4 linked regions of the Drosophila melanogaster genome follow. The protein of the gene in region 2 interacts with the protein of the main gene of each other region in a pairwise test. Each region holds a gene or a part of one and is shown on either strand. Other genes may lie near its edges.

Evidence for each region.
Region 1: the proteins of zormin (region 2) and Hsp60A interact in a two-hybrid assay, tested with the Drosophila melanogaster proteins (one large-scale study listed by BioGRID).
Region 3: the proteins of zormin (region 2) and CG4617 interact in a two-hybrid assay, tested with the Drosophila melanogaster proteins (one large-scale study listed by BioGRID).
Region 4: the proteins of zormin (region 2) and Mlc2 interact in a two-hybrid assay, tested with the Drosophila melanogaster proteins (one large-scale study listed by BioGRID).

Annotation. Positions count from the first base shown.
Region 1 is NC_004354.4:11,105,817-11,114,824, forward strand, and holds Hsp60A (heat shock protein 60A), read left to right. Parts: upstream 1-2,665; 5' UTR 2,666-2,817; intron 2,818-3,986; exon of another isoform or gene 3,987-4,109; intron 4,110-4,224; coding exon 4,225-5,595; intron 5,596-5,658; coding exon 5,659-6,009; 3' UTR 6,010-6,492; downstream 6,493-9,008. Other genes in the region: CG42249 (uncharacterized protein), read left to right, coding at 1,375-1,532, 1,591-1,690, 1,753-2,104, 2,163-2,262; CG11122 (uncharacterized protein), read right to left, coding at 7,035-9,008. UniProt on the Drosophila melanogaster protein: Prevents misfolding and promotes the refolding and proper assembly of unfolded polypeptides generated under stress conditions.
Region 2 is NT_037436.4:2,147,512-2,155,047, reverse strand, and holds the start of zormin (zormin), read left to right. Parts: upstream 1-3,347; 5' UTR 3,348-3,438; intron 3,439-4,766; 5' UTR 4,767-4,958; coding exon 4,959-5,303; intron 5,304-7,536. Other genes in the region: CG15822 (uncharacterized protein), read left to right, coding at 1-569, 641-1,243.
Region 3 is NC_004354.4:7,100,665-7,107,560, forward strand, and holds CG4617 (uncharacterized protein), read right to left. Parts: upstream 3,828-6,896; 5' UTR 3,731-3,827; coding exon 3,697-3,730; intron 3,641-3,696; coding exon 3,128-3,640; intron 3,066-3,127; coding exon 2,356-3,065; 3' UTR 2,171-2,355; exon of another isoform or gene 2,046-2,170; 3' UTR 1,891-2,045; downstream 1-1,890. Other genes in the region: CG8300 (uncharacterized protein), read left to right, coding at 4,492-4,728, 5,130-5,450; fz4 (frizzled 4), read right to left, coding at 6,717-6,896.
Region 4 is NT_033777.3:30,169,012-30,177,354, reverse strand, and holds Mlc2 (myosin light chain 2), read left to right. Parts: upstream 1-2,803; 5' UTR 2,804-2,868; coding exon 2,869-2,871; intron 2,872-3,540; coding exon 3,541-3,783; intron 3,784-3,942; coding exon 3,943-4,365; 3' UTR 4,366-5,917; downstream 5,918-8,343. Other genes in the region: CG1983 (uncharacterized protein), read left to right, coding at 1-178, 264-411, 471-712, 770-838; Rsod (uncharacterized protein), read left to right, coding at 6,288-6,357, 6,673-7,585, 7,649-8,201, 8,261-8,343.

The sequences.
Region 1 (9,008 bases), on a different chromosome or scaffold from region 2:
CAAAATTGATTAGTTTTTAACCCATATCAATGGAGTTATTTGTCCAAATATGGAATGTCATACCTCGCTGAATTCGTCACAAAATTCCCTTTCGAATGGCATTCACAGTTTAAAATGTAATTTTTTGTCCATTTTTCGCAAAAAATTATGATTATAAAAAATCAGAAAATTCGAAAAAAAAAAAATTTTTTTTAATTATGAAAACGTTGACAGGAATCGTTTATTTGGATCATAAGTTTTATAAAACAGTAATTTTTTTGAATGTGTGACCATTTTTGGCCAAGTTATAGGATTTTAAATTCTTCGAAAAAATCATAATTTCGGCTAAATGAATCCCCAATTTTGCAACAAAAACTAATCCTTTTTTGTTCATAGCAATGAAGTTATTAATCCAAATACGGAATGTCATACTTCGTTGAACTCGTCACCAAATTCCCTTTCGAATGGCATTCACAGTTTAAAATGTAAATTTTTGTCCATTTTTCGCAAAAAAATTAAGATTATAAAAATCGGAAAATTCGAAAAAAAAAATTTTCCAGAAATAAATATACGAATTTCGGGATCGTTTATGTGGATCATAGGCTGCACAAAAAAGTCATTCTCTTGGTTGTGTGATCGTTTTTGACCGCGTTATAGCAAAAACTCCTCTAAAAATCTTCAATTGAATGTATCCCTCAGATCTTACGTACGCCCATATAGTCAGCATGTCGCCCTTCGAGAACACGCTGGTTTCCTACAATCTGCCGGGCAGCAAGATAGTGGAGGCCATGGAGTGGGCCCTGAGCAAAGTGGACCTCGAGAACGGGGTGACCGGATCGTACATCAATCTGCAGTTCTCGGGCATCCGGGCGAAGTACGACTACACGAAGCCGGTGGGATCGCGTGTCATATCCGTAACGATTCGTTGTGCGGACTGCGAGGTGCCCAAGTACGAGCCTCTGGTATCCGACAAGCTCTATCGCCTCACATCGCCCAACTTCCTGCAGGCTGGTGGCGATGGCTACACCATGCTCGCCGAGGGCACTGACCTCCAGTACGTACATACAGGCAGCTCATCTTGTGTCCCATGTTGTAATACCATTTGATTATTTACTGATTTCAGGTGGGGAGTCACGGACTTGGATGCCCTAATCTCGTACAGCAATCACATCAATCCCATTTACCAGGGCCTCGAGGGACGCATCACAGTGCTCAACTGATTATACATACATATGTATTATATCCATAATGTGCAATAATTGCATTTTCCACAATAAATTTATCAGGGAAAGTACACAAACATATCTTTTCTCTGGAAGATTATTGATGCTGGGGAATATGTTTGGAGGCAATGGTTGCATAATATAATCATATACCATTTAAAATCTCCCAAAGATGATATCGTTCTACAAGCCATGGTGCCTTGGCAACTCGAGATGAAACCCATTGCCGAGCGGACAGTGGGCCAGAGTCGCGTGAATCTCCAGCAGAGTCAGTGCAGCAGTGGGGAATGCAATCTGGGTAACTTCTTCACCGATGCTATGCTTCATGCGGTAAGTAGTGGTGGCTTCAACCCACTTGCAACTGACCTAGTCCAATGAGAATCTTCAGTTTGTCAAGGATGCTTCATCGTCGTCTGAAGAGAGTTGGAGTAACGTGACCATTGCCTTGACATCAACGGGAACTTTTCGAGTGCCTATTCCAGCTGGCAGTGAGTCCTGAAAACAACATGTATACCTTAATCGAACAATAAGACTAAGTATATCACTACAGACATCACCTACAAGCAATTGTTTGCCATGTGCCCATGGCAGAATAGACTGGTGACCCTCAGTCTGCGTGGTAAGCACATTGTGGAGCTGCTGGAGCATGTGGTGGCGCCCATGAATGCCAGTTCGGCCACGCCGCGTTCCTCCCGATTCCTCCAGGTTTCCGGTCTCCGTATCCGTTACGATTTGAACGCCGATCAGCGAGTATTCAGTGTGCGAGTAAGATGCTCCAAGTGCCTGGTGCCCAGGTATATTCCACTCGATTTGGAGCACAAGTACCGCGTGGTCGTCATGGAGTACCTGGCGAATGGGAAGAACGGATTTAGCGTAATCAGCGAAAATGCAGAAGATCCAGAGTAAGCATGTTAAACAATGTTGATTTTGAATAAAGTATTAAAAAGCTTTTTTTGCCAGGTTTGGTCCTTTCGACTTGGACGCCTTAATGGACTACATGAACTCCACCGGGCCAATTACGACTGCAATCGAGCAAAGGATTCAGTTTGTAACTACTTAGACTTTATAGTATGGTCGAAAAATGTAGTAAACCTATATAATAAAATATACATATGTATGGTTTCATTTTGAAAAAAAAAAACTTAGGCGCGAAACTATCGCTTTCCGCATCTAACATCTCTAGCATAACGTATAAAGCTTGCTGCGATAGTTATTCATTATTATATAATTGGATTATTAATAGTTGCGTTGGATTTGCATATTTGCTGTTAATACATTAATATATTAAATTGTTTTCTTTTCTATGGAAACCAGAAAACTTATTTATCGGCGAAAGCTCAATTTATTATAAATATTACTTGAATGCGAGTCCCCCATATGGCTGCCGATAATATTCGATTGCCCGACGCAAGCAATCGATAAGCGCCGGCTATTTTCGATGGCCAACGAATGGTCACACCGATACACATTAAGGTTAGGAAGTTCGGACCGCCTGTGCGCACATTTCGAAGCGAGTAAACTGTGGTGAAGTGGGCTTGTTGTTTCACATCAAATAGAATCGGAAGCGTTCGCTTAACTGTCTTGTCAATAATTCGCAGTACCAGTTTAATTCACAGTAAGTTCTAAACTTTTAAACAATTTCCAGAGCCATTCCCATTTGCCCAATTGCATTTCAAGTTTGTGTGCAAGTGTGTGTGTCCCATTGGCGATTATATAAGAGCGAACAATCTGGCCGATAGCCGGCAAATCGTGTTTCCAGAATGTTCTGTTCATTGATAACTGGAAAAGTAAACGATGTCTGCATTGTGCAGTAAATGATTACATTCCAACAAGAATTTATTAAATCCACCTCAAAACACACAAACACGCATACGGGCGCGCACATTGGAAAGCTGGTGGAAACTCAGTTGCACATGTTTTCCACTGCTTGCCGGCAATTTCACATTTATCAGACGGCATTGCATGTGCTGCTACTGCTTGCCCTGCTTCCTTTCTTTCTTTCCACTCTCGTTTGCGGAAATCTTTGATTCATTGAATAACATTCCCTCCCATTTTGGGAGCTACATATTAGTCTTTTGCCCAAGTGCTGGTTACATAAATCGTTTCTTCTGGAATGCTCGGTGCCAAGATGTTGTTCGTTCCCCGGGGGGTGGGGGTGGGCACTGGAATGAGGGGGCCTGGCCGGTACAGTGGAGCCTCGCTGCTGCAACGAATTAGTTTACATAATACTATCAGTAATACCTAAACTCATTGATTTGGTTTAATTTTTCAATTCAAAATAATGATGTTTATAAGGATGAGCAGAATCCATGTAAATATCTCATGTTGCCTGTGTTTTTAGAACTATTTCATCATTAAATTAGATAGAAACAATAGGTGATTACTGTTTAAATTCGTCTTATATTTTATTTTATTGTATTCACATTAATAACAACCTAAAAAAAAAACATTCTTTCTGCTTATGCAATTCTCACAGAGATATTAATTAGTTTATGTAATTTTCGAAAATTGTAATTTTTATAAACCGAAACTAGATGTATGTACATCTGTATTTATCTAATCCACGTGTTATATGCCATAAATTAGCTCAATGATTATGTTGATAATGAGTTTTTTGCATTGAGCTTTATTAAAAAAATGTATATTATTTTTTTTATAACTCTTTGAAAATTCCCAATTTTTGGAGCATTGTGCGTTTATGTAATTTCCATAAGTATCCGTGTAAATAACATTCCATTGGCTTTTGCTGTCAGTAATCTGAGAAGTTTACAGCTCTGATTATCGGAAAAGTCAAGCGAACTGCGTGTGTTAAACAGTGCTCACGCGTTGTATTCCCAATTTCACATTCAAGAACGAAGATTTTTGACCTTTGACCCGCTGGAAGCTTATCAACTAAGAAACTCCGGGGTAAACAACTCAAAGAAACCGCATCTTAGTTCTGCCCAAGGCGGAACACGTGCTTTGATTCATCTCTTGCTACCAGCCAGTTCTCATCATACCAATCCTCTCTGCTCTTCCACAGATGTTCCGTTTGCCAGTTTCGCTTGCTCGCTCCTCCATTAGCCGCCAGTTGGCCATGCGCGGCTATGCCAAGGATGTGCGTTTCGGACCCGAGGTGCGCGCCATGATGCTCCAGGGCGTCGATGTGCTGGCCGATGCTGTGGCAGTGACCATGGGCCCCAAGGGTCGCAATGTGATCATTGAGCAGTCGTGGGGCTCGCCCAAAATCACCAAGGACGGCGTCACTGTGGCCAAGTCCATTGAGCTGAAGGACAAGTTCCAGAACATCGGTGCCAAGCTGGTCCAGGATGTGGCCAACAATACCAACGAGGAGGCCGGTGATGGCACCACCACGGCCACCGTTCTGGCTCGCGCCATTGCCAAGGAGGGCTTCGAGAAGATCTCCAAGGGCGCCAATCCCGTCGAGATTCGTCGCGGTGTCATGCTGGCCGTTGAGACCGTCAAGGACAACCTTAAGACCATGTCGCGCCCCGTTAGCACGCCCGAGGAGATCGCCCAGGTGGCCACCATCTCGGCCAACGGTGATCAGGCCATCGGCAATCTCATCAGCGAGGCCATGAAGAAGGTGGGACGCGATGGCGTTATCACCGTCAAGGATGGCAAGACCCTCACCGATGAGTTGGAGGTTATCGAGGGCATGAAGTTCGATCGCGGCTACATCTCGCCGTACTTCATCAACTCCTCGAAGGGCGCCAAGGTGGAGTTCCAAGATGCCCTCCTCCTGCTGTCCGAGAAGAAGATCTCATCGGTGCAGAGCATCATTCCCGCTCTGGAGCTGGCCAATGCGCAGCGCAAGCCGCTGGTCATCATTGCCGAGGATATCGATGGTGAGGCCCTGAGCACCCTGGTGGTGAACCGCCTCAAGATCGGCCTTCAGGTGGCTGCCGTCAAGGCACCCGGCTTCGGCGACAACCGCAAGAGCACCCTCACCGATATGGCCATCGCCTCCGGCGGCATTGTCTTCGGCGATGATGCTGATCTCGTCAAGCTGGAGGACGTCAAGGTTAGCGATTTGGGCCAGGTCGGCGAGGTGGTGATCACCAAGGACGACACCCTGCTGCTGAAGGGCAAGGGCAAGAAGGACGATGTGCTCCGTCGCGCCAATCAGATCAAGGACCAGATCGAGGACACCACCTCCGAGTACGAGAAGGAGAAGCTGCAGGAGCGTCTGGCCCGCTTGGCCTCCGGCGTTGCCCTGCTGCGCGTTGGCGGCTCCAGCGAGGTGGAGGTCAACGAGAAGAAGGATCGCGTCCATGATGCCCTGAACGCCACCCGTGCTGCCGTCGAAGAGGGAATCGTTCCCGGAGGCGGCACCGCTCTGCTGCGTTGCATTGAGAAGCTCGAGGGTGTCGAGACCACCAACGAGGATCAGGTACGATTATCTATCTCTCTTTTCTGTTATTCGTGTATTAATGTCTATGAAATCTCATAACAGAAACTCGGCGTGGAGATTGTGCGTCGTGCCCTGCGCATGCCATGCATGACGATTGCCAAGAACGCCGGCGTTGATGGCGCCATGGTGGTGGCCAAGGTGGAGAATCAGGCCGGTGACTACGGCTACGATGCGCTGAAGGGCGAATACGGCAACCTGATCGAGAAGGGCATCATCGATCCCACCAAGGTGGTGCGCACCGCCATCACAGACGCCTCCGGTGTGGCCTCACTGCTGACCACCGCCGAGGCTGTCGTCACCGAGATCCCCAAGGAGGATGGCGCTCCTGCCATGCCCGGCATGGGTGGTATGGGCGGCATGGGAGGCATGGGCGGCATGGGTGGCATGATGTAAGCGACTGCCACTGACTGGTCGACAGCCGGAGAGGGGGAGGGAGATGTGATGAGAACCGAAACCAGCATACTGTTTAAGTCACGATGTGGAACGATGACGTCGCGTGGTCGGCGGCGAAAGCAGCTCATCAGTTATCAGTCATCAGCAGTCGGAGCGAGACCCACCAATATCTCTTACATCGGTGCATCCAGCCGGAGACACATCACCCACCATTTGACACGCATTCTAATCCTTGATGGAACTTTGTTTTGCTTCGCATTTATCCTTTGGCAAGAGCAGCGCAACATCAGCACACAAATCCAACACAACCGGCTGGGTGTGAGCTCGTCGAGACTGCAGCGTTCGCTCCGCCACACGCCGTCGCCTCCATTGTGCTCCACGTTTTTTTAACTATTCCTTAACTCTATTTTTTTTTACATGTTATATATGTAAAGATACCGCTAGTTGTAAAATATATTAAATAAATCCGAAGTTAAATTGAGGAAAAACCTGGACGGCTTGTATCTCTGGCGGTTCGCTACTGGGTTACTGGCATCCCAAATGAGAAGATCGGTCGTCCGCTTTGAATTGTTGTGCTCAAATTTATATTTGTTGCTCTTTCGCTTTTTTGTTTCTTTTGTTTATTAATTATAAATACATTTAATAAAAAAAACCTAAATAATGTAACGCTTAGATGTTTAAAAGAAAGAAAAATATGTTGCATATACTCCGCATACGGTTAATGGGTGCGGGGCCAGGAGGTGGCCTCTGCCAAGTGGGTGCTCCCGCTGCCGCTCCTACTCCAGCTGATCCCGATCCCGAACCAGATCCTGATCCTGATCCTGATCCCCTCCTGGCGCCGGCGTTAACGATTAACGATGACACAATGGCAGTACGTATGTGATCGATGGCGGCGATGGGTCGTCGGCTGCCCGCGCCGACTCCGCCCCTCGAGGCCTATGGCTATGACTTGTCTGGCGGGAGGAGACTGTGCTGTGCTCCTACGCCAGCTGTTGCTACGTCTGGTGACGCTGCTCCACCCACTCCTAGCACTTGCGCTTTGGCGTGCGCCGCTTGACACCGCAGTTGTCCACCTTTTTGCTGCCCTTGGCGATGGCCAGCAGCTTCACGAGCTTCTTGTGCGAATCGCCCACGATCCAGCCGTGCTTCTGGTACGTCTCGTTCTCCTCGAAGTGTTTACCCGGCGACGGTGACGCCTCCTCCGGCTCCAGTTCCGTTCGTTCGCCATCCCGCTGCTCGCTGCCAGCTCCAGCGCCGCGGGATTCACCGTCAGCGGCCTCCGTCTCGTCGTCCAGGCGTCCGAACTCATCGTCGCTGGAGCTGCTCCAGTAGTACAGCTGCTTCTCGCTGGCTGGCCGCTTTCTGCGCGCCGGCGACTGGCGGCTGGTCTGCGATTTTCGCTTGGCCTTCAGATTCTTATTGCTGCTGCTGCTGTTGTTGTTGTTATTGGTGGTGCTGCTGGGGGTGGCGACAGAGCTACTCCGCGGATGCGGTGCAGGCGGCAGTGTCTGCTGCTGATTGCCGTGCTGCCGCACCTTGCTCCTCTCTCTTTGCGCTTCCGGTGCAGCTGCGGGCAGTGGTGGTTGTGCTGGTGGCGGTGGTGTTGGCGCTATTGGTTCCTTCTCCGTTTCATTGGCCTTCACCTTAGGCTGCTGCCTGGAGCTGCGCGTCCTGTCTGGTGGTTCAACTTCCACCTCCGCCTGCTCCTGCTCCTCCTCCTCCTCCTCATCCTCCCTACTTTCCTGCACCCTTGACTTCTCATTAAATCGCTTTTTGCGATTGTTTGTCGCCTTGGTCACTGGAGTTTTGCTCTTGGCCGCTGCTTTGGACTTTCCCCTTGCAGGCGGAGTTAGCACTTCTGGCGCAGGCGCTGGCGGTGCCTGGACAACAGGAGGCACATGTGCTGGTGCTGGCGGCGGTGGCTGGTTCCTTTGCCTGGCACGTGGTTTTGGTTGCTCCGGCTCGGCAGGTGCAGCCTTCTTTTCGCTGGCGCGATTCTTTCGTTTACCTGCAGTCGCCTGTGGCGTCTGGGCTTTCTTGCTGGCCACTGGCGGAGCAACTGGCTCCGGCTGGGTGTTCGCCTCGCTGGTCTTGCGCTTGCGCTTCTGTTCCTGCTGCTCCTTCTGCTCGATCAGGGCTATGATGTCCTTGGTGCACAAGAACTCCTCGTACTCATCGGAGCTCCAAGTCTCTACCAGCTTCTTGGGACGATTGGTGGCACAGCGACGCTTAGACTTGCGCTGTCCCTCGTCGATCAGCTGCTCGATCTCTTCGTGACTCATGCCCAGTTCGGACTGCAGCTTGCTCAAATCCTTGCGTGGCTTGCGATTGGACGAGGAGGAAGCAGGTGCAGTGGCTTCCACCTTTGATTTCCCCTTTGTCTTGGTCGGTGCGGATTTGTTGGCTGGCTTCTTGGCCGTGTTGGCCGTGGAGTTCTTCGGCTTCCTGCCCGGTGGCAATGCACTGGGTGCTGGCATGGCCGCCGGCGCTGCCGGTGCTGCTGGCGCCGCCATGGGCTCCACCTGATGATGGTGGTGGTGGGGGTGATGATGGTGCTGATGATGCTGCGGCTGCTGCTGATGATGATGGTGGTGGTGGTGTGGCTGCATCTGCTGCTGCTGCTGCGGATGATGCCGATCCCAGTTCTCTTGCACCATTGTGGGTGGAGCCTCCATTTCCGATGACTTGGCCGCTCCGCTACCGCCACGCAGCTCATCGAAGATCTGGTCGAGATTCGCTTGGTTCTTGGGCAACGCCTTGATCTTCGCCATTCCGGGCACCACACTGGGACCCGGAAGCAGTGCCGCAGATGGAGCCATCACTGGCGCCGCCTTGGCACTGCTGGCGTGCTTAAATATCCGTCCCATGATCAGTGACTTGTTCTCGAAAGTTTTGGCCGTGGCGCGGCTGGAACTGCTGCTGCTACTCCGACTGCCCGTCCGGCTGTTATCCGCCGACGAGGATGATGAGGACGATGAACTGGACGTGGAGACGGCACG
Region 2 (7,536 bases):
CAGCCAGTACTTCAAGTGTCAAGACCAAAATAGCCAAGGCCTCAATAGAAAGGGATATTATCTTGGAGGAAACCGAAGAGGAGGAGGATGAGGTGGATTCGGGTCCGCCGCTAAAGAGTCTGGACAAGATCAAGGCCCTCATCCGCAACGACAGTGAAACATATCCGCATAGCGACTATACCGACAATGAAACACCATCGCACTCACGCACTGCCTCAGTGGATTCCGGAGCTCCCGATAATCCCCGTCTCTCTGGTGATTTTAGTGTCGTGGCCGATGAACTACCCCTGGATTGCACTGCACCAAGTCCACTCCATGACAGTGGAAGGACCAGCAGTGCTGGAAGCGAGATACCCGTGGAAACCCTGCCAGCTACTGTGCAAGTGGTGCCCACAGGCAGCAACGAACTGGCCTGCGCCGCCATTTCCCACAAGCTGGGAGCCATTGCCGAGGTAGCCGAGTCCCTGGACGCAGTCATCCGGGATGTCCAGCAGCAGGAGGGCGTTGTTAGCAATGGAATCAGCAATGTCACTGGAGGACATGGCATAAAAAAATTGGGAAGCATTGAGGTAAGTTTAAATAATAAAAATGTTGATTCTTTTTCCGTTTGTGTAAAATGGTACTAATCTCGTCGCTTTAGGATTGGCAATCGCGCTCCACCGAGGACGAATCCTTCGCCACTGCCTCCGAAGGCAACTTTACGCCGAACTCGCATTCCTCATCCTTTCAAACAGCCTCAGGACGCACTAGCTCCTACATAGGATCGGCCAAGAACTCCTTCGATGAGGCGGACGACTCAACTTTAAGCACATTCGAAATACCCGAACTACCACCTTCGCCAGTCAATATGTCCTTTGATAGCTCCGAAATGAGCTACTTCTCCGACCGTCAGCAGAGGATGAAAAGTGAAGATCAGGACAGTGTGGCGGGCATGGCAGAGCTGCATAGTCAGAGTGTAACGCCCACTCCGGACGAGGAGCAGCAACACCTGCTTCTGCCACTACCATTGCCGCAGGCCATCGAATCGGACAGCGAGGTGGAAGGATTCAATTTGGCCACTGGCATTACGACGGAGCTGGCGCCCAGGATGTCCAACGCCCACACGCCGGAGGTGAGCTACACATCGGCCAATAACACCGCTCCGGCTTCAACTAACCCCAACGAATCGAAACCGCCGCCTTCTTGGCGACGCAGCAAATACTACGAGAACATAACGAAACAGACGATCAAGGGATTTCTCTGAGAGATCTGGACAAGCTGTCCCAGTTGAAAGATGAACACAAAACGATTTCCCGCCCAATTAACCAGCGCCATTTGCTTCTCTGCCGATCCTCGACATTCTTGCCATTAATTAGTTGGCATACTATTTTTGCTGTTTTCCCAAAACCAATTTTAGCCCATGAGCTAAAAGTTTTTGTCTTTTTTATTTTGTTTGCCATTTTACTTTGCATGATTGTTCACTGTTTTCTACCAAAATTTATTAGTTCGATTGAACTTTAGCTTAAAAGATATACTAAAATGCCTGCGCAAAAGGTTTTTAAATATTTTATGTTTGAAAAATGTCTTTTGCTTATACTTTCTCTGCTTTAAATATAGTAGTAGAAATATTTATTTAGTTAGTTCAAATTAAGTCTAAGGCTTGCAAAAATTAGAGAATTCCCAAATGGTTAGAAAATATATTTAAAGTAAGAATTTAAATTCACTTACGGCCAGTCGAAATTTTTGCCATTAATCATATGTTTAATATTTATTTATAACTATTTCTCCCACACAGTCACAGTCACAAAACATAGTGCAATTAATATCGAACATGTTTTACCCCAAAAATAAAGCTAATCATTTATAATTTTTTTCAATACCTCCTAACTTTTCAGGTATTTAGTTTTAAATTTTATGCTTAAGCAAGTAAGTAACTCGTAACTGCAAAATTTGAATGTAATCTCGAAAATCCATGAAAACATTGCATAACTTTGGGCTGCATCCGTGAAAAGTCATTGCCATCATCTGCACTTAACCCTTGAGTGCTCTTTTGGACTTTTCCACCCTAAATAATTTTTTTCAATTTCCCTCTGTGGGTGGCCCTTTCCCCCAAACATTTAACAAGTGGTCCTCAAGTGATTTCAATTATCTGAAATGTGAACTGGCAGTGGGTGCAGCGGGGAAATGGGGTTAAGAGGGGTTGGCTGCTTTTGTGAGCTTCGTCAAGTGGCTCATTAATCTCAATTAAAAAACATATAAATAAATCGCTCTGAGTGTGGTGAGTGAGTGAAAAGAGTTTATACTTAACGAGCTGATCATCCAGAAAGGCGAACCAAATATCTATGAGATTCTTTTCATGCCATTCGACCAGATTTTCTGACGTGCCGGCGCTGAAAGCATAATTCGATAAGTTCGAATCGTTGATAGCGAAAAATAATAACACACATCTGCAGCGCATTGATTGCCGCAACTGCTGTTGCACGCAAGAAGCGTCGGATGTTGCACGTTGAATATTGCACGAAATCCGGAGCCAAAGCCAAAGCTGCAAGACACGCATTTTGGGTGAAAAATACTTCATAAATTGGGGTATAGAGCATCATGGGTGGTGAGGGGATTTAAATGCGGGCGGTCAGTCAGTTTGCCTTGCATTAAGACACGATATCGTCTGGTTTCCTCCGCTGCTCTGGTGTTGTTATTTTGATCTTCCACTCTTCACCATGTTATTAAAGTACAAAAGCTGCACTTGAATATGTTGTGGTTTAAGGTACCTCGTCTTATATGGGGTGTATAAGACCAACGAGGAAAAGGTCTAGCCAAGGGGAAAAATCATCCACACATAAGATGTTAAGTTAGATGAATATTCAAAAGTAAATGCGAATAAATAAAGTGAGGGCATAAGAGGGTAGCAACAGTTCGCTTAAAGTTACCCTTTATCATCAGAATTACAGGGTACAAGCTCGCTTCATATCGCTTTACCTTCTCTTCGTATTGTAATTGCTGAAAAGCCGGGCGCAGGGCATTAAAAATTGAAATCATGAATTAACGACGCCGCGAATGCCAAGAGCACTTGTTTATTTATGTCGTCTCCCCTGAAGCCCCGCATCTTGCCTCTTTCTCTAGCGTCTAGCGTCTCCAGCCCTCTCTTTCACACTCTCTCATTTTCAAAATACAAGCCGGCTTTTCAAAACTGAGCTTAGCCAGTGTCAAGAGATCAAAACAAGAGAACCGCTACCTGCATGAATGAATTGAGCGAATCGGTTAAGTTTCATGGGCTGCACGCTCTTTATCTCTTTCTGATCGGCTGTCTCCCGTAGAATCTGCTCAGTCTTCGGTCTCCGGTCTTCAGTCTTCCGATCATTTAGTCAGTCTTGTTCGAAGTTCGCGGCGTTCGGTTGTTCGGCTGTTGGGAAAGCGGCGCGCGCGTTTTGATTTTCCACATCTCCACCGCTCGAATATAATGTGCGAATAAAAACATATCTATGTAAATTAAGTTAGGCAGAAAACGAGGAAGAAAACAATAAATTTGGCACTTCAAAAAAAAAGCGAAATGAAACGTAAATTAATCAGCCATAATTTACCTAGAACATTTTTGACATTCAAAAATGCTTGGCGCTAGTTTTTTTTGCGTTCACTCGTCTAAAGATGAAATCAACAATCTGTGCTAAATTTATTGTTGTTGTCGAATATTCAGTTTTGTGACGACCCTCAGAAAGCACAAACAAAATGTTTAACAAATAGAAAACGACACAGAATGCGCGAAAAAAATATTTTTCAAAAATATTCGGTGACCTGATGCATTGAAAGCTTATTTGTTTGAGTCATGTGCATATTTCAATATACTACAACAGTCCACGCCCCAGAAAATTTCAATCAACAATTTTCCATTTTTTTTTCTTTTAAATTTTTTGGACAACAACATATGGAGGCAAAGCATTTCCTCGATTGCGCTACTGTAAACTTTTATAAAGGGAACTTGTTCTTCCCAATTTTTGGTTTGCTGCTTATTTTTAGACAGCGCAAAGTACAATTAAAATAGTTTACATTACGCCAGCAACGGCGGCGACTATTAAAAATTGAGAGAAACACCAAAAATTACCTAATGGAGGCAGCTGGCTGCACACGAGCATACGCGGCGTATGCGTAATGTATTCAAAAATATCGAAAAATCCATGAAAAATGACTGACTGGCGACGACTTCTGCCAATGCAATTGGCACATGTTACAGATTTGACGAACATCCGCGCGCTTTATCTATTAGCTATAGTAGCCTGTATCTGTAGCATCGCAGTATCTGAGTATCTGGGCTAGAACAACAGTTTAGCTTCGTGGCAGAAATCGCCGCAAAAAATTACTCAATAGTTTGTTGTTTTAAAAATAAACGCGAATCGAGCATTGTCTTTGAGTTTTGGCGGGGCGGGGGGCTACCGAGGTTCTACAACGAGACTAGCACACGCATCAAAGGCAATTTTCTCAGGCTCAATATGCAAAAAGTACACACGATTCTCTCGGCTATATAGCCGTATATATAGACACTACGGAATAATAAACAGACACTAGAGCGACAGGGAGAGCGCGAGTATGAAGTCATAGTCATCGCGGCGGGCAAAAAGAATTCTCCGTTTCGAAAATCTACCGATTCGCGGAGGTTCTCAGACGATCGCCGGCGTTGATAGCGCTCGCAACGAAACGAAGGAACCGCCGAATCGAATCCCCTGGCTATAACTAATCCCAATAAATTAAATCCGAACGCGAGTGACTCAATCTAATAGTTCCACTTTTTCGAGCAGAGTTCAAAATGCAAAACACGAGACACAAGCAGGGGAAGTAAGCCAAAATACGAGAAAAACTAAACGACAGAGATTATAAAACGCCCACGCAAAACACACCAAACTACAAGCACTCACTCAATCCTCGAAAGTTAGTCAAAAAAAAAGAAAACAGAGAGAAGTAGAGACGAGCAGATAGAAAGAAAAGCAACCATGGAACGCCGCCAAGCCCTAGACTCATCGATGTCTTCGCTCTACTCGGTCGCCTCCTCCTCGAATCCCAATCCCCGCCAGCCGCACACCGGCCACCAACTTCAGACGCAGCAATCCCAGCAATCTCAGCAGTCCCAGCTAGACGCCTTCAATTATTCAGCAACAATGTCATCATCGTCGCCGACTCCAAGTCAGGCCATGTCCACAGCCATGTCCACGGGCACGGGCACCGGCACCGGCACCACCCACACCACACCACCATCCTCCTCCTCCCTGAGAGCCACCACCATTGGCACCGTTGTCGTCCGATGCGGACCCATCCAGCTGGTGATAGCGCTCCTACAAGTGAGTTGTACTCTTGTACCCCGCAAACAATAAAAATAGTAAACTAAAAAACGAAACGAATCCAAACAAAAAACACACAGCAAAAAGGCCAAGAAATGGGAAACAAACATGAAGAAACATTTATCTAGATACGGGAGAAGTGTTCGGAGAAAGCTCTTGAAGTGCGCGGAAATTTATGCGGAAGGCGATCTGGGAGGACTTCAAAAGAGATTTGGGACGGGGCATTGGGAGATCTTGAATAAATCATAAATCTAGAAGTGCAGTCAGGTTTCGAAAACACGGGGAAACATCTAGGATAAGCTGTGGTCATTGAAACATCTTATGAAAAAAGTTGCATTCGACTCAGTTTTATGTGAAGCTATAAAAATCCATAACAACCAATTAAGCCAGTCTAAATATATTAACCTTTTTTTTCAATATAAATGAGCTTATCATTTGAATGACGACATAATCTTTGTTCATTATTAATGACAGTGCAATTATATATTTACATTTTTTTCATTTTGCGTAGTGGGGCAAAAACAGTCTGAGAGATGTAAAGCAAAGAAAATAGTTCAATAGATACATTATCTCAGATTGTTATCAAATCATTTTTCAATCAATTTATCACTATAAAACAACGTTCGACTATTATTAAATGGCCCAGCCTCCAACCAAGCAAATGTTCACTACCAATCGGTCGACATTAATTGATAAATTTCTATAATTATCCCATAGCTAGCCCCTTCGGATCTGAGGCAAAACTATGTGACTTTAGCACTGAAAAATTCATGAACTTCTAATGCCCAAAACTGGCTTACAATTTTCGATTGTTTAAACCGGCTTCCAGCGATTTCCGCGCCAATTAGCACTCGAACAACGAAAGCAAAAGTTGTTGATAGCGGTTATAAATATTTGAAAAACGGCAGCAGAAAAACAAACGCCACAAAAGGTTCAAGGTTGTCTGACATCAGAGCAAAGACACAAAAGCCAACTAAACGTGACAAAAAGAAATGTATCTGCCAGATACTTTCGACAATTAGGCGCAGCTGCTACCTGTCTGGGTCCATTTCGAGCTGGCAGAATCAGTTTCTTCAGAGAGAAACTTTGTTTGGGTCTTCTCCGCAGATTTGCCCCCTTTTCCAACCCCTCCAAATCGCTCGAACTTGAAGATGCGACTTGAACTTGAGATTGAGAAACATTTCTGATGAAGCGCTACAAGTTTTATGCCCCGAAACAAAAAACATTCAATAATTATGGGCATCGGTGAATGGTTTATGGGCTTTTGCGGCAAGGGGCAAGGGGACTGTGCCCCTTTTTGCACCACCTTTTCTGTTCATTCAACCAACGGATCATTGAAATTTCGGTGTGCCACTTTGTGCCATTTTTTTTTTTTTTTTGCTGGCCATCAGAATAACTATTTTTGCTTCATATGCCATTCGAGACTCACGGCTCCATGTGTTAAACATTTGATTTGATTTACAACTTTTTCCCCCCTCCACTTTTGATTCTGAAAATTATGCAAAAACATTTTACTGACGAGCCTTTCAACACGTTTCTGTTGTATACGTGTACTCGTGTTTCCATGAATTGAAAACTCGCGACCCCAAAAATATACAGATTTCTTTAAATTTCCGCTGGCCTGCTTGGAAACAGTATTGAAATTCAAAAACGAAACTAAATAATTGCTTACCTGTCGTTGTTTTCGTTATTCTCGAACTGGTCCCAAAAATGCTGTTGAAAATAAACAAGAGCGATTTCTCTCCCCGGTTCTCGCAGGTAAACAAATTAGCAACGGAACAGAGCCAAAAAAAAAGCTGAAATAAGAATAACAAAAGTGTACAAATAAATACACAATATTCCACAATAAAAGCCAACAGATGTGCAACAAACACACACAAAATGAAACAAATGTATGAGCTAAAAAATGTTCGATGAGCTCAGCTCCTTATTATTATTGTTATAAATTCCACGTGGGCGGTGGGAGATTTTTTTCTAGGGGAAGAAAGGCGGCGGAAGTTCTTTAAACTTTGTGCTTCAGCATAAGATTAAGGAAACAATAAGTTGGCAGAACCCCCTTCGTCCCGCGGCTCGTAGCTTAAAACTATGCAAATATGTCAAAAGTTTCCTTCCTTTCTGGGTTTATTTTTCGAAACAGACAACAGACAATTCTTTCAGTTAGTTTATTCTAAACAGAAAGAAATTTCAAGTGGCAAGAAATTGTATTTAAGTATTAAATCTTGGCAAGGATAGT
Region 3 (6,896 bases), on a different chromosome or scaffold from region 2:
TCATTCGTCTCTATCTTCGCCTTTTGGGCCTCGCCTCGAGTGATAAGCCAGCGCTTGGCCAGCTGCAATAATGGTTGGACAATGGAAATGGACGAGCGGCCGGACACTTGAGGCATTCCTGCATTGAGACTAATTTATGCTCATTGAGTTTCGCACAGACAACTTGCATACAATGGCCCAAGGTTGGGCGATTTTGACCCGATCCGCAATTGAAACCAGTTCTCTGATTGCCGGCCGCTTATCTCGCGTGTCGAGAACATGGCTCAAAGTCCGATTCGGATGAGATGTATGTATGTACAAATGAACATATGCCCATCCGCGGGCGCACTATTATGATTATGGCGTCTCTCGGAATCCGATTGCACTTTCAATCCAAAAGAAAAGGTTTTCATTCTCATTACCCGAAGAAGTTATAATATGATTGATTGTGTAAATGGCAATGTTTACCAATTATTTGGTATTTGAAATGCGAAAGGCGAGTTTTAAGCTCATCTTAAAGTTCAATTGAAATGAAAATGAGCTGCTAGAAAAACCACGCGTTCGTTTTACATAAAAACCTTGAGTTTTCCTTTTAAATTAGTTCATATATCTAGATAGTTACCAACGGGAAAACACGATATTCGATTCAATGACGGCGTGAATTTAATGAAACATTATAGTTTTAAGATCTGCCTGTATTTGCCCGCAATTGAGAGGACTCGAAACTTTGCTGGCTTGTCTGTTCTGAGTTATGACAACTTTTCAATAAACCAACGATGGTGGAATTAAAACACCTCCCAGTTCCCGGCGCCCCCAAAAGTATGCCCCATTGGGCGCGGTGGGAGGTCACGGGGTTGAAAAGCATAACGAACAAACCCCCCACCCCCCCTTCGGAATTTATCACCATAACGACTATGCTAAGCGGTATAAAAATAGATACCTCGGGCATTCCTTATATTGCCAATTACAAAACAGCGGGCGGGGAGCTAGTGCACTGCGAGAAAATGTCTGGACTGCAAATCGCAAGGTATTCCATTTCTTTTTAAGCTTTGAATTTAACAGTTACTGAATCGAATTTATTTTCTAAACAAATTGTGCTTAAGAATCCTTTAAAGTAATTCATTTCACATTCATGTTTTTTGGCTAATGATATTTCAGCTTAGTCTTAAACCTATTTTATCTTATTCAACCAATCTTTCCATCTTTTTTTGTGCCTTGCTTTACCATGTTATTTTTCTCAGTGCACAGGAAGATTGTTTACATCTCCCATTCAGAATCAATCGCCGCACTAATCCAATTTGTAGCGCTGCCGTCACGCAATTCGCCCCTACAACCTGACCGTCCACCTACACAAGTATTTTCCATCCCAATCACAGCTGCTGCCCCCCCCCCCCCCGGAAAATCCAAAAAAAAATGCAGGTGGAAAACTCACCGTTTTTTTGCTGCCGCGGATGTGGCTGCGGATGCTGTGCGTGGGCGGAAGCGGTGGCGGATGCGGATGCCGCGCTGACGTGCGGATCCGGGGCGGAAGAGGATTCGGAATCCCAGGCCCACGCAGGATTCTCAGGGACCCAGAGCTTGCTGCACTGCATCCGGGGATGTGGGAAGATTCGATTTGGCGTCCGTCTTCTTATTTACTTTCCGCGGACTGGCTAGTGGTGGGCAGGGCGGCGATGTAACATCGATAGCTCGCCGTTGTAACGGCAAGCCAAGTCATCGATGGCGCACCAGCGAAGTGCCATCTCTAGAAAGTAAGCAAATAATTAACGTATTTATAAATATTTAAAGTTTATATCTAGCTTATAGTTCCACTATTCGAACCTTCAATTATGGCTTATTTGAGATCATTTTTAAAAATATTTCACTTTTATAAAGATTTTTGGGCAGAGGAAGAAATCATCTCATATTTTTAGCTTTTATATTTATCTTTATTTATTACGTTTATTATAAAAAGTGCCTGCTTAATTTGAAGCTGAAATAAGAATCTTGTGATTCACATTTATTTCACTTAAGGATTATAGGATATTTAATGTTGCCTAATTCTACCAATGTTTCGATGATTTGTGCTTAAATGTTGCAAAAAACAAAAAGTGGAAATAAATAAGTGAACTACTAAACTTTTTAGCGTACGAATTTCAATTCAAGAAGCAAATAAAAAAAAAACTCAATTAGAGGGAGACCTTTTACTTACGATCTAGATGCTTCAGTTTATCAACTAGGCATATCTAATGCGATTAACTATTTCCAGGTTGGCCAACTCCTTACAAACATACAGATCCCGATGGCGACTCTAGTCGCCGCTGGAAGCGCAGCGGCCTGGTATGATTATATATATATATATATGTATGCATTTGCAGTTGCAATCCGGAATTTACTTCATAGTCCGGGCATTACGTAGGCGATGTTGTCGAGCGTGTCGGCCAGATTTTTGCTCAACTGCACATTGTTCTCCATGCCGGGTATTTGCGTGGTCATGCAGAGCAGCGGTCCCATGGCGCAGAGCAGGCTGTCGAGGAGCACGGACAAGCTGCCCGATAGCGCCACGTATCCATTGTGCTTCTTCAGTCGCTCGCCAATCACAGTCAGGCTCTCGCCGAGCAGCTTCAGATGTGCGGCCGCATCGATCACTTCGATGCTGGTCTTTTGCACCTCCTCCTGCTTCAGCTGACCCCCAGTCCGGCCGCTGACGTCCGCATCCGTGTGCACTTGCGCTTGTTTCGTCGCGCTCTTCGAGACCTGCGACCTGGCACTTCGTGTGCTGATGCTGCGCCGCTGTGTGTTGGTGCCAGTCGCTGCTGCTGCCGCCGCTGCGGCAGCCGCTTCTATTGAGGATTGCTGCCGATCGGCGGCCAGTTTTCGAGTGCGACTTGTTGTCGCACGGTTCTGAAAGATCGTCTCGTGCTGCGTGGCATCTGCCAGAGCCGTGCTGCCGTTGCTCGCCGGCTGGGTTGCACCGTTTGCAGCGGTTTTGTCGCGAGTTTTGGCCCTGGACGCCTCGATTTTGGCCTTGCGCCGCCAGGTGTTCTTGTCCCGATTGGAAACGTTCGCCCACAGCTCGCTGAGGCGTCTGGTCGCGCTGGTGAAGTCTGCAAGCGTGCGGGGAATGGTCAATAAGCGATAGAGAGCGCACAGATGTGTAGCAACCTACCTAGATCCTGGAGATCCTTCTGTCGCGCCTCCTTGGCCCACAGACTGTAGGCGGTGTAGCGCTGCTTGCCCTTGTCCTTGCGCTGCACCTTGGCACTCACCACCTTGCCGTCCTTGAGCACCTGCCGCTTGTTGGACTTCTCGCGCATGTAAAGACTCTGACGGACGGATGACTCTTGGCTGGTGGCCTCCGCCTGGACACCATCGACGATATCCTGCACCAGATTGTCCAGTTCATCGTCGGAATTCAGAATGGCCACGACCGTTGCCGTTGTATCCGGATGGAATTCCTCGCTATCCGAGATAATGCCATCATCCACGAGCATCTCCTGGTCAAGATCCAGATCACGCAGCGCATTCGATGGCCTGCCGCGGCCCGAATATCTGGCTGGCTGTCTGGCGCCACTGTGACGCCTTGTGCGCTTCTCGATCTCATCCGGAGATTCAAAATCCAACAATTTCGACGATTTTTTGCGTACGCGTCCGCTGCGCGAAACACCCGTCACCTGGAAATCTAATTGGGAATTTATGACCCCGATTCCATTGACGGCTGCCGCTTTTTCCACTCACCCTTGGCCACCAGGTGCGAGGTTGGGGACTCCATGTTTGGATACCTGCTTTGGAAGATTGGGATGCAATTTGTTGCAAAAAGAACGAATTAAACGAAGCAAACAAAACAGCTGTTTGGTGTGACCAGAGCTTTAAAACGCGATGCATTGCAAGCGATGGTTAAATATGGAACACTAGATAACCATTTTAGTTTTTGAATATATTGCTAAGTTAATAACCATTGCACCAGTCAATTGTACAGAGTAGGAAACCATTAAACTTAATTATTTAATAATATAATATTTTTTATTGTTATATTATTTAAATTATAAGCACAGGATGTGCACGCACAACTTAATTTTTTTATTATATTATTAATTATTTTTATAAACAAAAACATTTACGATATATACGACTGCAATTTCATTTTTATTACAATACATCTAAATTAATATCCAGTTAGCTTGCAAAAACCATCAGCTGGTCACACTGCCGCACCTTTGTTTTGTTTCGACTTTTTTTTTTGCTGTTTGAAAGCGGCTTTTAGTTTATCGATTTGCTTTGCACCTAACTGCGCCAAGCGCCCCATGGCACGCGATTCTCGCCGTTTGTGAGTCGTTTCGCCGGTGGCCCCCAACCCAAGGACATTTTGGCCCCCAGCCGGCCGTATACGCATTTGGCGTTGACCCGCGTCCGCTTTTTTCATGACCAAAACGGCGGCTGCGATTCAAACGAAGCTCAAGCGCAAGCAAAAACATTCGCGCAGCGTCAATCAATCGAGGCGGTACTTAATCGGGTTTAGAGCTATCCATAGCCATGTCAGCGGAGAGGAACAAGAGTGGCGAAGTACGCAGTGCAGCTGGAGGATTGGAACTGGCATCTGCGAGTGGAGCAAGTGCATCCGAGACGGACAATGTGAGCGCCCTTGAACTGCAGTCCAACAAGCGCATGCTGTACTTTAGCGACGGCGTCATGGAGGAGTTGTCCTCGGGCAGCGAGGACGAGGCGGATGCGGAAATGGGCGACAAATGCTACGACGTCCATTTAAACGAGGTACATACATTCAGCAAGGATTATGGGTGGAGTAATGCACTTCCGGCCATCCATTTAGTACATGGTCATGTAGCTGCATTGCTTGTTTACCTTTTTTAAAGCGGGATTGTCCGGATTAACACAGTTAGTTAAATTTGCTCAAGATTAGCCCAGTTCTCCTGATCCAGATAATAACTTTTCACTTTGAGCTCGAGACGTGACTAATGTTCGAAGCGAATTATGATAATAATGTGAGAAATTTTATATCTTTCAATGAAAATGTGTGTTTTGAGCTGTTTAAGTAAACAAACAGGGCCCAGGGCCACGAAAAAGATAAGCAGCTGCCACCCCCCGCCCCCCTCCTCATTGACCATTTAGCGTGACTCATTTAGCCCGCTTTTTTTTTTTTTGCCACCTTTTAGAGCGAAATGCCGCTGGGACCACGCCTGCGTTACAAGGCCAGCAGGATGGGCAACCGATTCCTGGCCGGCATCGACTATGTGGGCGGTGGGCTGGCCCACCTGCTTGGTATCACCAGCAGCAAGTATGCCAGCGAATTGGAGAACTACCACAGGGCCAAGGAGCACGGCGACGAGGACCTTGACAATTGGCACCCGCGGGCCATGTCGACCACGACCAGTAGCAGCAACAACAACAGCAGCGGCAACAACAATCGCAACGAAACCATCGTCCTATGCGAACCAACACGCAGCGAGGCGACCTTGCCACCCACACGGCAGTAGGCGCCCACTGGGCCACCCACTTGCCAGGTGGGTTGTGCAAGGTGGCGATTTTCTTGGCAGGAAGGCGAAACAAAATGCTCATGGAGTACTGGCGACACTTGGAGACTCTTTTACTTGGTAAAAACCATGCGAAACGAAATGAATCAAAACAGATATTAACTTTTCGACACTTTATTCGCTAGCAAATAAGTTATACATATACATATATGATAATAAAAAAAATACACATATAAAATACAATACAATACAATACATATACTGTTAGTCGCGGGCTCCATACGATTCGTATTAGCCCGCAATTGTATAAAGGTTAGTTAGTTTCTTAGCTAGTTAGTTGGACATTTAGAAGTAGGACTTTTTCTGTGCGAAAATCAGCAGAAGTTGAAGGAAAACCCTCAGTAATTCCGCCAAAGTTCGTTGCTGGAAAAGGACTCTTTTAAGGTAATTTCATGATATTGACTCGTTTCAGTTAAGTCCCTAAAGCTAATGGCACACTGAATACAATTAGGCATTACGGCTACGATTGCAATTGCGTTTTTTTTTTTCGATTGTTAAGTACACTTGTTTCGGCATCGGGAGAAGACAGCAAAGTTGGAAACCTAGTTTCTGGTTCCCATTTTTATTTTTTTGTTTTTGAAGACATGAACATGCGTATCACAGTATTTGGTTGCTGCGCGTTTCTCTCTCTCTCTAACTCAAAAAAAAAGAATTTATATAAAAATGCTAAATATATATATGTATATATGTGTTATGTACGCAAAGGCGACACACATTAAGTCCTAATGTCTAAAAGGCAAGAGCGATTATTGAATTTGGTTACACCAAAATGGTAAAAAGGCAACGCAAGGGGCAACTAATTAGGAGCAACATTAAGTACACACAGGAAAATAGGATATGAAGCCCATCTAGGGCAATTACAAATACATTGTAGATGACCTATGACCTCGCGATAAAGGCCCAAACTAAAGCACTAAGAGCACATTTCCGGGGTTATATACACAGTACATAGATCGGTTTACCCCATTGTGTTCTATGGACAGGCAAAGCAACTAAAATCGAAATAACGATATCGTTATCTCACGATCGTTTTATGACAAACAAATTGGACCGTTTCCCCACCCATTTAAGTTGCTTTGCCTCTTTCGATACCCGAAACCGCATTAAGTTATAGTAGAGGATTGACTTTGGCACAGCAGCTGCTGCAGGAACATTGACTGGAAGCAGGAAGCATTTCCTGCCCTGAAATGGTACCTAATCCAATTCCGTCTAGAGTAGCGTCTCATTGCCATACTGCTGCAAGTGGGGATAGTAGCTGCCGTGCTGGCTGTACTTTTGCGAGGCATAGCTACCTGGCGGATAATACAGCCGATGCGAGGATGTGGAGTGATGCTGGTGATTGTGGTGGGGATGGAACTGATGATGCTGCTGCTGCTGGTGATGATGATG
Region 4 (8,343 bases), on a different chromosome or scaffold from region 2:
AAGCAAAACAAAGCCAGCGGAGGCCGTAATCGAGGCTTACGAGGGCGGACAAAGAGACTTCGGTGAGAACTATGTACAGGAGCTGGAGGAGAAGAGCCGCCACCCGGACATTCTGGCCAAGTGCCCCGACATCAGGTGGCACTTCATAGGCCACATGCAAAGCAACAAGATCAACAAGGTCAATTGGATAACCAAGATCGGATAACAGCGTTTATCTCTTATCAGCACCTCTCTTTATCTTATTGATCTCATTGTTTATTTAGATCCTTTCTGTGCCAAATCTGCATATGATCCAGACCGTAGATAGCGAGAAGTTGGCCACCAAACTGGACGCAGCCTGGTCTAAGCGACAGCCCACCCCTGAGGAGCCATTGCAGGTGCTCATCCAGATCAACACTAGTGGTGAAGACGGTGAGTCTCACGCCCCCAAACTAGCGACCTTATACTTACTTTCCTAAATCGACCTCTAGTTAAAAGCGGAATAGAGGCGAAAGATGCTCCTGCACTCTACCAGTACATCAAGAGCAACCTTAAACACCTCAACCTGATGGGCATAATGACCATTGGTGCATTTGGTTTTGACTACAGCAATGGACCCAATCCGGATTTCGTGTCCCTAATGCAGGTGCACAGATCCATATGTGAGGCGCACTCCTTGGCCCCGGACTCGGTGCTCGTCTCCATGGGAATGTCCAACGACTTCGACAAGGCGGTAAGCTACAAACCGACTGAGCAAGTTCCGTCTCTAAAATCGAAACTATTCCCTCAGATCGAAATGGGCAGCACAGTGGTGCGCGTTGGCTCTTCTATTTTCGGCCATCGGGCGGCCAAGGTGTAAGAAGGGGAGCGGAGCAGAGATGTGATAGGAATGCGTTGCGGGCACTGAATACAGCCGATTCCCAATGACGTCCGACCTCACGACTGAGCACCTCCAAGTTCGCTCATGTATCAGGTGGAACTGGGTATATTCACACAGACTAACGTAGTAAATCAGCAAATCAAAGATGATTTGGCGTTTAAATTTAGAAACCCTTGAGATAAACAAATGTTATGTGTAGGCTGTTATTTGCCTTATTTAATTGTTAACCCTTTATAAACAATGCTTCCAAAGTGTCAAAACCATTAATATTCCCAGAAACATTCTGCACCTTGGAAAATTGAATACATTTGCCGCAGTTTTCATTAGTTTTAACATTCCTTCGACTGCGTCTTGCTCGTTTTTTGCACTTTGTTCTATTTTTACATTCGCGTATATTCAATGCTACTTTGCGTATTAGATTGTGGGCAGTTTTCCTCTATATCTTCTTGTTTTGGTTGGCCCCAGGCCAAAATGTCGCCTGGTTACGTGCCAAAATGGCTGCGCCATGAGAGTTTTCGCCGAAAATCACTTTCAATGGAGCACGAAGATGACTGCAGCCTAAATCGATTTTCATTATGTCTGATCGATGAATTATGAAGGCTTTCTCGCACGGATCCCATCGTTAATTGAGATATTTTCCGTTTCATAAATTTGCATAGAGCCTTCATTAATTATAATATTAGCCAGCGAGGGTAATGAATTCAGGTGGCAAAGATGACCTCATGTAAATATTGTTTTGAAAAATGTTTTGGCTTATTTCCTTCAGAAAGCAAAAAGTCGAATAATTTGCAGAATGAATATTTCTAAAAAAAATAGATGTAAACTATATGAATAATAATATTTTGTAACACTTGAAACTAAATTGAAATTTCCTGCTTATTTGGAAAACTAAAAATGTGTAAATAAGGCTTTGAGAATCCAATTTGTCGATTGAAGTTGTCACAATTTTACTATTTATTTACTGAAATGGCTTAAATAGCTTGAATACTGCAGTGTTTAATATTTTTAGTAACAAGGTTAATGTATCATGACGTGGTACCCAAAGTTTATCTGAAATGGAAATCCTACAGCCTTCCCATTGTTATGCAATGTCCATGGATGACTAGCATATAGATAAAGTCAGATGTTTATTCCACATTTGTTGCCGAAATAACTCTGGTCCAATATCGGGTTCGTTGGATATTTATGCGACACGAAATCCGCCCGATCGCCGTGTATGTATATACAGATCTATAGATTTGGAATTCTCGGCGCTCTTCATATTGCACAATGTGCGGGGCATTTCGAAAACAGAAAAAGGAACGTAGGCGAGCAAAACATCGAGTATATAGGCGTGAATAGAATACATACATATGCTATATGTTGGCATATATGTATGCTGTCCGCCGCCAAGGAAAATGTAGGTGATTTCAGCGCAAGAGGACACCTTTCGGAGGTGGCCTCTGGCAGAGAGACGCACCGAGTAGTGAAGCAGAGCAAAATAAAAGAAAACAAAACAGAATCCGAGGATGGGGAAATGTATCCACAACAGAGAGCCGCTATATGAACCAATCCGAATCGCCCCGAAATAAATTCCGAACATATGTATAGGCTTCTGCTGCCCAAAAGCCAAAGCCAAAGCAATTTCTCTGCCTTTAAAATTAGATTTTTGATTAGAGCAGCGCCCGATGGATGAGTAAACACCTCGGATACAGCTACACCATAGGCTATAGGCTATAGCCATGGCTATATCTATATAGTTGTAGCTGCCCGCCCCCGCCGATCTCCTGGGCGGACCTCGCCTTGCAGATACTAAAAAAGGCAGCACGAATATTGCAGATACGGATACAGCGAATGGCGCCCGAAGATCCCCGAAGGTGGCCGAACCTCCACGAGCGGCCCCAATGCTTGGAAGAAGAAGAGCTCCTCCGAGCTCTTAAAACATCATTGTCTTGGCGATAAAATCAGCCAGAGATTCAGTGTGCTCTGACGGCTCGACTCGATTAGACAACACATCAAAGTTCAGCACCATGGTAAGGACTCGTCCCGGAATATCACTACAATCCAACTGAACCGAACTGAACCGAACCGAATCGAACTGGACCCCAGTGCCTGGATATATGCAGCAAGGATAATGCCGATCAGTGCAGTGAATCGTTTGCATTCGAGAATGACCCCGAGGATATGAATATGAAGTGAACCATAACTCTAAATCATGGTGATCCCGATTCACCTTCTTCACATACGCAGTGAGAATAGTGCAGAAAGTTCTATAAATGGATCGATCCGATCCGAGTGTTACGCGTCAGTAATGTAATCTGATATCCGTGCCGGGGAGCGAGCGAGACAGCGAGTGGCGCACGGCGGAGAGCTTACGTAATATGCGTCCGGTATATTTTTAGAATGAGTGGAAAACTTTCGCCTGCAGATACATATTTTCTGGCCTAGTCGGGTAGGCCTTTTGAAAAGCATACCTTACATCCCTTAAATCCCTATTAAGGGATAACTTTCTACCCATATAATTCCAATTGAAGATCCTTCAACGCGGATAACTTACTAAGATCCCTAAAACGAATAGTATAACTTCCGGAATCGGAACTTTCAAGTGACAGCTAAAGACGGACTATAACGACTAATGACCGAGTAGATACCCCCTTTCTGCCACGAGTCCCTACTAATAAATCCCTCTTTTCTCTCCTCAGGCCGATGAGAAGAAGAAGGTTAAGAAGAAGAAGACCAAGGAAGAGGGTGGTACTTCCGAAACCGCTTCTGAGGCCGCATCCGAGGCAGCAACCCCGGCACCAGCTGCCACTCCTGCCCCGGCCGCATCTGCCACTGGTTCGAAGAGAGCGTCGGGCGGATCCCGTGGCTCCAGGAAGTCGAAGCGCGCTGGCTCCTCGGTCTTCTCTGTGTTCTCCCAGAAGCAGATCGCCGAGTTCAAGGAGGTGAGTTTTGGGCGTTACTCATATATCGCATCATATGTCGGATCACTCGAGACCCATCCCATCATCCTGTCATCCTACCATCTATCGCACTTGTCAAGGACCAAGTCACCAACACACTCTTTCTTTCTATCTCTCTCTGTCTCTGTGCGGGATCGATAGGCCTTCCAACTCATGGATGCCGACAAGGACGGTATTATTGGCAAGAACGATCTGCGCGCTGCCTTCGACTCCGTCGGCAAGATCGCCAACGACAAGGAGTTGGACGCCATGCTGGGCGAGGCCTCGGGTCCGATCAACTTCACCCAGTTGCTGACCCTGTTCGCCAACCGCATGGCCACCTCCGGTGCCAACGATGAAGACGAAGTTGTTATTGCTGCCTTCAAAACATTCGATAACGATGGTCTCATCGACGGTGACAAATTCCGCGAAATGCTCATGAACTTCGGTGACAAGTTCACCATGAAGGAGGTTGATGATGCCTACGATCAGATGGTGATCGACGACAAGAACCAGATCGATACCGCCGCCCTGATCGAGATGCTCACCGGCAAGGGTGAAGAGGAGGAGGAGGAGGCCGCCTAAGGCACATCCGATCACATCCTAACTTCTAACTCAACATCCATTTTACAGCCAGAATCAGAACGTTAAATCAATCAGTCAAATCAGTAATAATAAACGTAATTAAAAGAAACGCTCGTTTACATATGTAGATTCTCAGTATCTTGTAATCTCTTTTGTTAACCATCACCAAGTACCTTGTACCAAGAACAACACCACCAACCAGATCAGCAACATCCGATCAAACTGAACCTCAAAAGAACTTCTTCAGCAACATTTGGTAGCGATCAGAACCATTTACCATGTATCTGTCCATCATAGTTAGGGATACTTACGATCACGTTCACTGTCACGGCAAGAACTGACGCGTAGTTTTCTAGTTGATTTACTGTTAAATTTTACACGTAAAATTTATAAAACATATGCTATCTATTTTATTTAAAACACCTATAAAATCAACAAAAAAAACTTAAAAACAACAAACAAGCCGTGTCTATTTTTATATCGCTGTCCGTTGAAGAACTAAAGAGAAGAACCCCCAGAGAGAGATGATTACCAGATCGAGATCGAGATCGGAATCGAAATGAGGATGTATGATGTATGATTTATGATGTAGGGAGGACGAAGACGATGTTGATGGGTAGCCGGGCTGTATTCGTTAGCCCTGCACCCGCGAGTTCAATTTGATTATGAATATGAATTTTAGCCAGTTTTGTGAGTTACAATGTTTTTCGTTCAAGAAATCTCGCAGGACCAGGAGAGAGAGAGGTAAACCCATAACAAACTATTGTTAGGGATCATTTAACTGAGAGCCAAATATATATCCTACTATCACAAAATATTTATCGTTATACATATCTATCGTTCGTTACTTACTTATTTATCAGTTATGAGTTATCAATATTATTGCAAGTTATCGAGAGTTAGGCTAATAACAGAGAAACATTAAGTTCATTCACTCAAATTGTTTAATGCGAATTTATATAACTTAACCATCGCCACCACCACAACTTTCTGCTTATGAACTATCAGCGATATAAACCACCCAAACGAACAAACAACCCAAAATGATATCTGAAATATGAAGAAACATTCAAATAACAAACCCAGTGTTTCTAGTTAATGCGTTTTGAAGCTTCCAGGATGATACGCCTCCCCGGGAAATAGACGGTCGGGGGGGTTTTAGTTTGAATAAGGTGCCCATAACCACTAGTACCTAGGCTGATCGGAGGAAGCACAATATATTGCCTTATTTATCTAATACTACTATTACTCAGAACTCAACACTTGACACTCGACACGAGCACACACCACACTCACACGCACACTGCAATCCATTTCAAAGTGCAACATGCAACAAGTTGTTAAATGCAAATCGAATCTTTACTTCAGTATATTTTAAGCTACACACGGCAAGATGAAAAAATTCAGAAAACTTTTAACCCGGTCAGGAATATTAACAAGAGTAAAACAAAAAACATCTAAAAATAGAAAACAAGTAACTGTTTTTATACAACATAACTAGATGATGATACGATGACGAAGTCTTGGAATAAAGCAAAAGAGAGTCGTCTTGAAAAAAAAACACAAAGCCATTGAAGTTTGATTTGCTCAGGGAAGGGGTTTTTTGGGGGTATGTAGTACCTTACTGCATATCTGACTCAGCTGAGCCGTGCCGGAAACCAGTTCCAGGTCAAAACAAAACCACCGATAAAGCTGGGGAGCTGAACGAAGCTGTGGAGCGCAGTGGGAAACTCCCCACACTTGGCCAAGACGATGGCCAAAACCGAACACGAACCTTCGAGCGACCAGTTGTCAGTCGAGTTTCGAGGCGCACGCATGCGCACTACGATGTGAAAGTCAGCCACGCTTGTCATTGCCACATCCATTCCGAACAGCGCTTTTCGAATAATCTGGTTACTCAGGGCGTAAGTAGAACCAGAACCATGGCTCCAGGTGGACGACAGCTTTTGTGGATGGCTTCCATCTGCTGGATTGCATCACTAATGAGTGGAGGTGAGTGCTGGGAATCGATTGCATTGTATGCAGATATTGCGTGGCCAAAGAAATCGAAAGTATCTCAGTTTGAGTCTGGAATATCTCACCACACTCTCGAGTGCACTGCAAGAAAAGTGATATACATTTGGGGCGAACTAAGCCCTTATCCTATGCTGTATACTTTGCTTCGAAAGTAAACTAACCTTTTATTTCCAACACTATATTTTATGCATATAATTATATTATTCATTCATATTTCTCTCTCTGCGCCTATGAGATATCTCACCTTACTAATGAACACTCCACTCTCACTATCGTTTTTGTGCCTCTCAGCTGATGCACAGCATCTGATCGCTTATATCTCGCAAAGAGGTCTTCATGGAGAGATCACTTTTCGGCAAATGAATGCCACCACGGTGGAGATCAAGGCCAACCTGGAGGCCACTTTGCAGTACCCCGACCAAGTATGGAGTTGGGGAGTACGTCGCTTCCCCGTGGACTACTCCAATATTGACCCAGACGAACGCTGCGAACTGAGTCGTTTGGGCTCCCAGGTCCTGTCCTTTGACGAGGACTTGGAGTACCTGGTACTGCCCGGAAATGAGACCTCCAGCTGGGAGCGAAACATGCAGTTGATTGGGGATCGGGGAATCTGGGGGAAGTCCCTGGTTCTGACAGAGGTCAACGCTAATGCACGGATCTGTGCCACCATCACCACCATCCAGAGTTCCGTGGAGCACATGGCAGAGGCTCGTTTTAATACTCCTGTCGCTGGATCTGTCCATTTCCGCTGGCTGGCCCCGGCGGAGGGAGCTGTTGGAGATACTCTAATCTACTCGGATCTTTACCATATTAGGGCGCAACCAGCTGCTCTGGAGGAAGATAGAAGTCAAGCTGGACCGTTCACCCAGCACCACTGGAAGATCTATGTGACGGACATTTTCAAACATGACCACCATCGCACGGAGGACAACTGCAACTTCCTGCAGCAAGTTTTCGATCCCCAAGGAAGTGGAGCTGGCAAGGGAATAGGTGATCTGGACGCACGCCTAGGCAGGATTGGAGTGGCCAAGAATGCCCTTCGTTCGCCACAACGCAGCGTTTTTAGGGATGCTCAGTTGGCCCTGCTGCCCTCGGATCTTACCATTCCCCATAGAACTCTTTACCTGGTTCTTTTTGACAACCAACATCCAGATTCGTACCTCGCGTGCACCAAGATTCGCCATGTCCAACCTTTGACACATAAGTGAGTGGTTTTTACAACCCATTCTATTTGAAAGTATAACCATTTTTTTTTTGTTAACCGCAGAACTTTCATCAACTCTGGTGGTGTCAAGGGAGAGGTTACCTTCATGCAGCGCTCCAAGTTCGACCCAACTTTCCTCAATTTCACCTTGGGAGCACCGCTTTCCCAGCATGTCAGTCGCAAGTTCGCCGAAGATGTGGCCGCCTTTCGGATTCACAGTCTGCCGCCGGTGCCTTCGAGGATGGGTCACGAGGACTACTGCCTGACCACTGGGGACATGCATAATCCCCGGGAGATAAACGAGAATATACCCCCACCCGGTTATGGAACCCAGGAGCAGTATCCCGTGGGCGATCTCTCCGGGAAGCTACAGGGTCGCAATAAAGGTTATTGGCATCAGTATGTCTTACCAGGAACGAGCTCCGAGTTGAATGGCCTCTACTGGGACGTATTTCTGCCCCTTCAAGGACGTTATAGCATTGCCCAAAGAAGTCTGGTCATATACACTTTCAATCGATCTAATGTCACAAATATTACGAAGATGATTTGGGGCTGTTCGAGCCTAAGTCAATATCAACGAAATGGAATCTACCAGCAGAACATGGTTACTGCTCAGGTTGGTAGATAAAATAGTATTTCATGCTAAGTATTTTAATATTTGTGCTTATATCTTAGGTCCTTTTCCGCTATCCTGTGGTGGGTCGAGTCATATTCCGGCAGACGGCGGAGCAGCCTTGGCAGGATACTACCGTTTTATT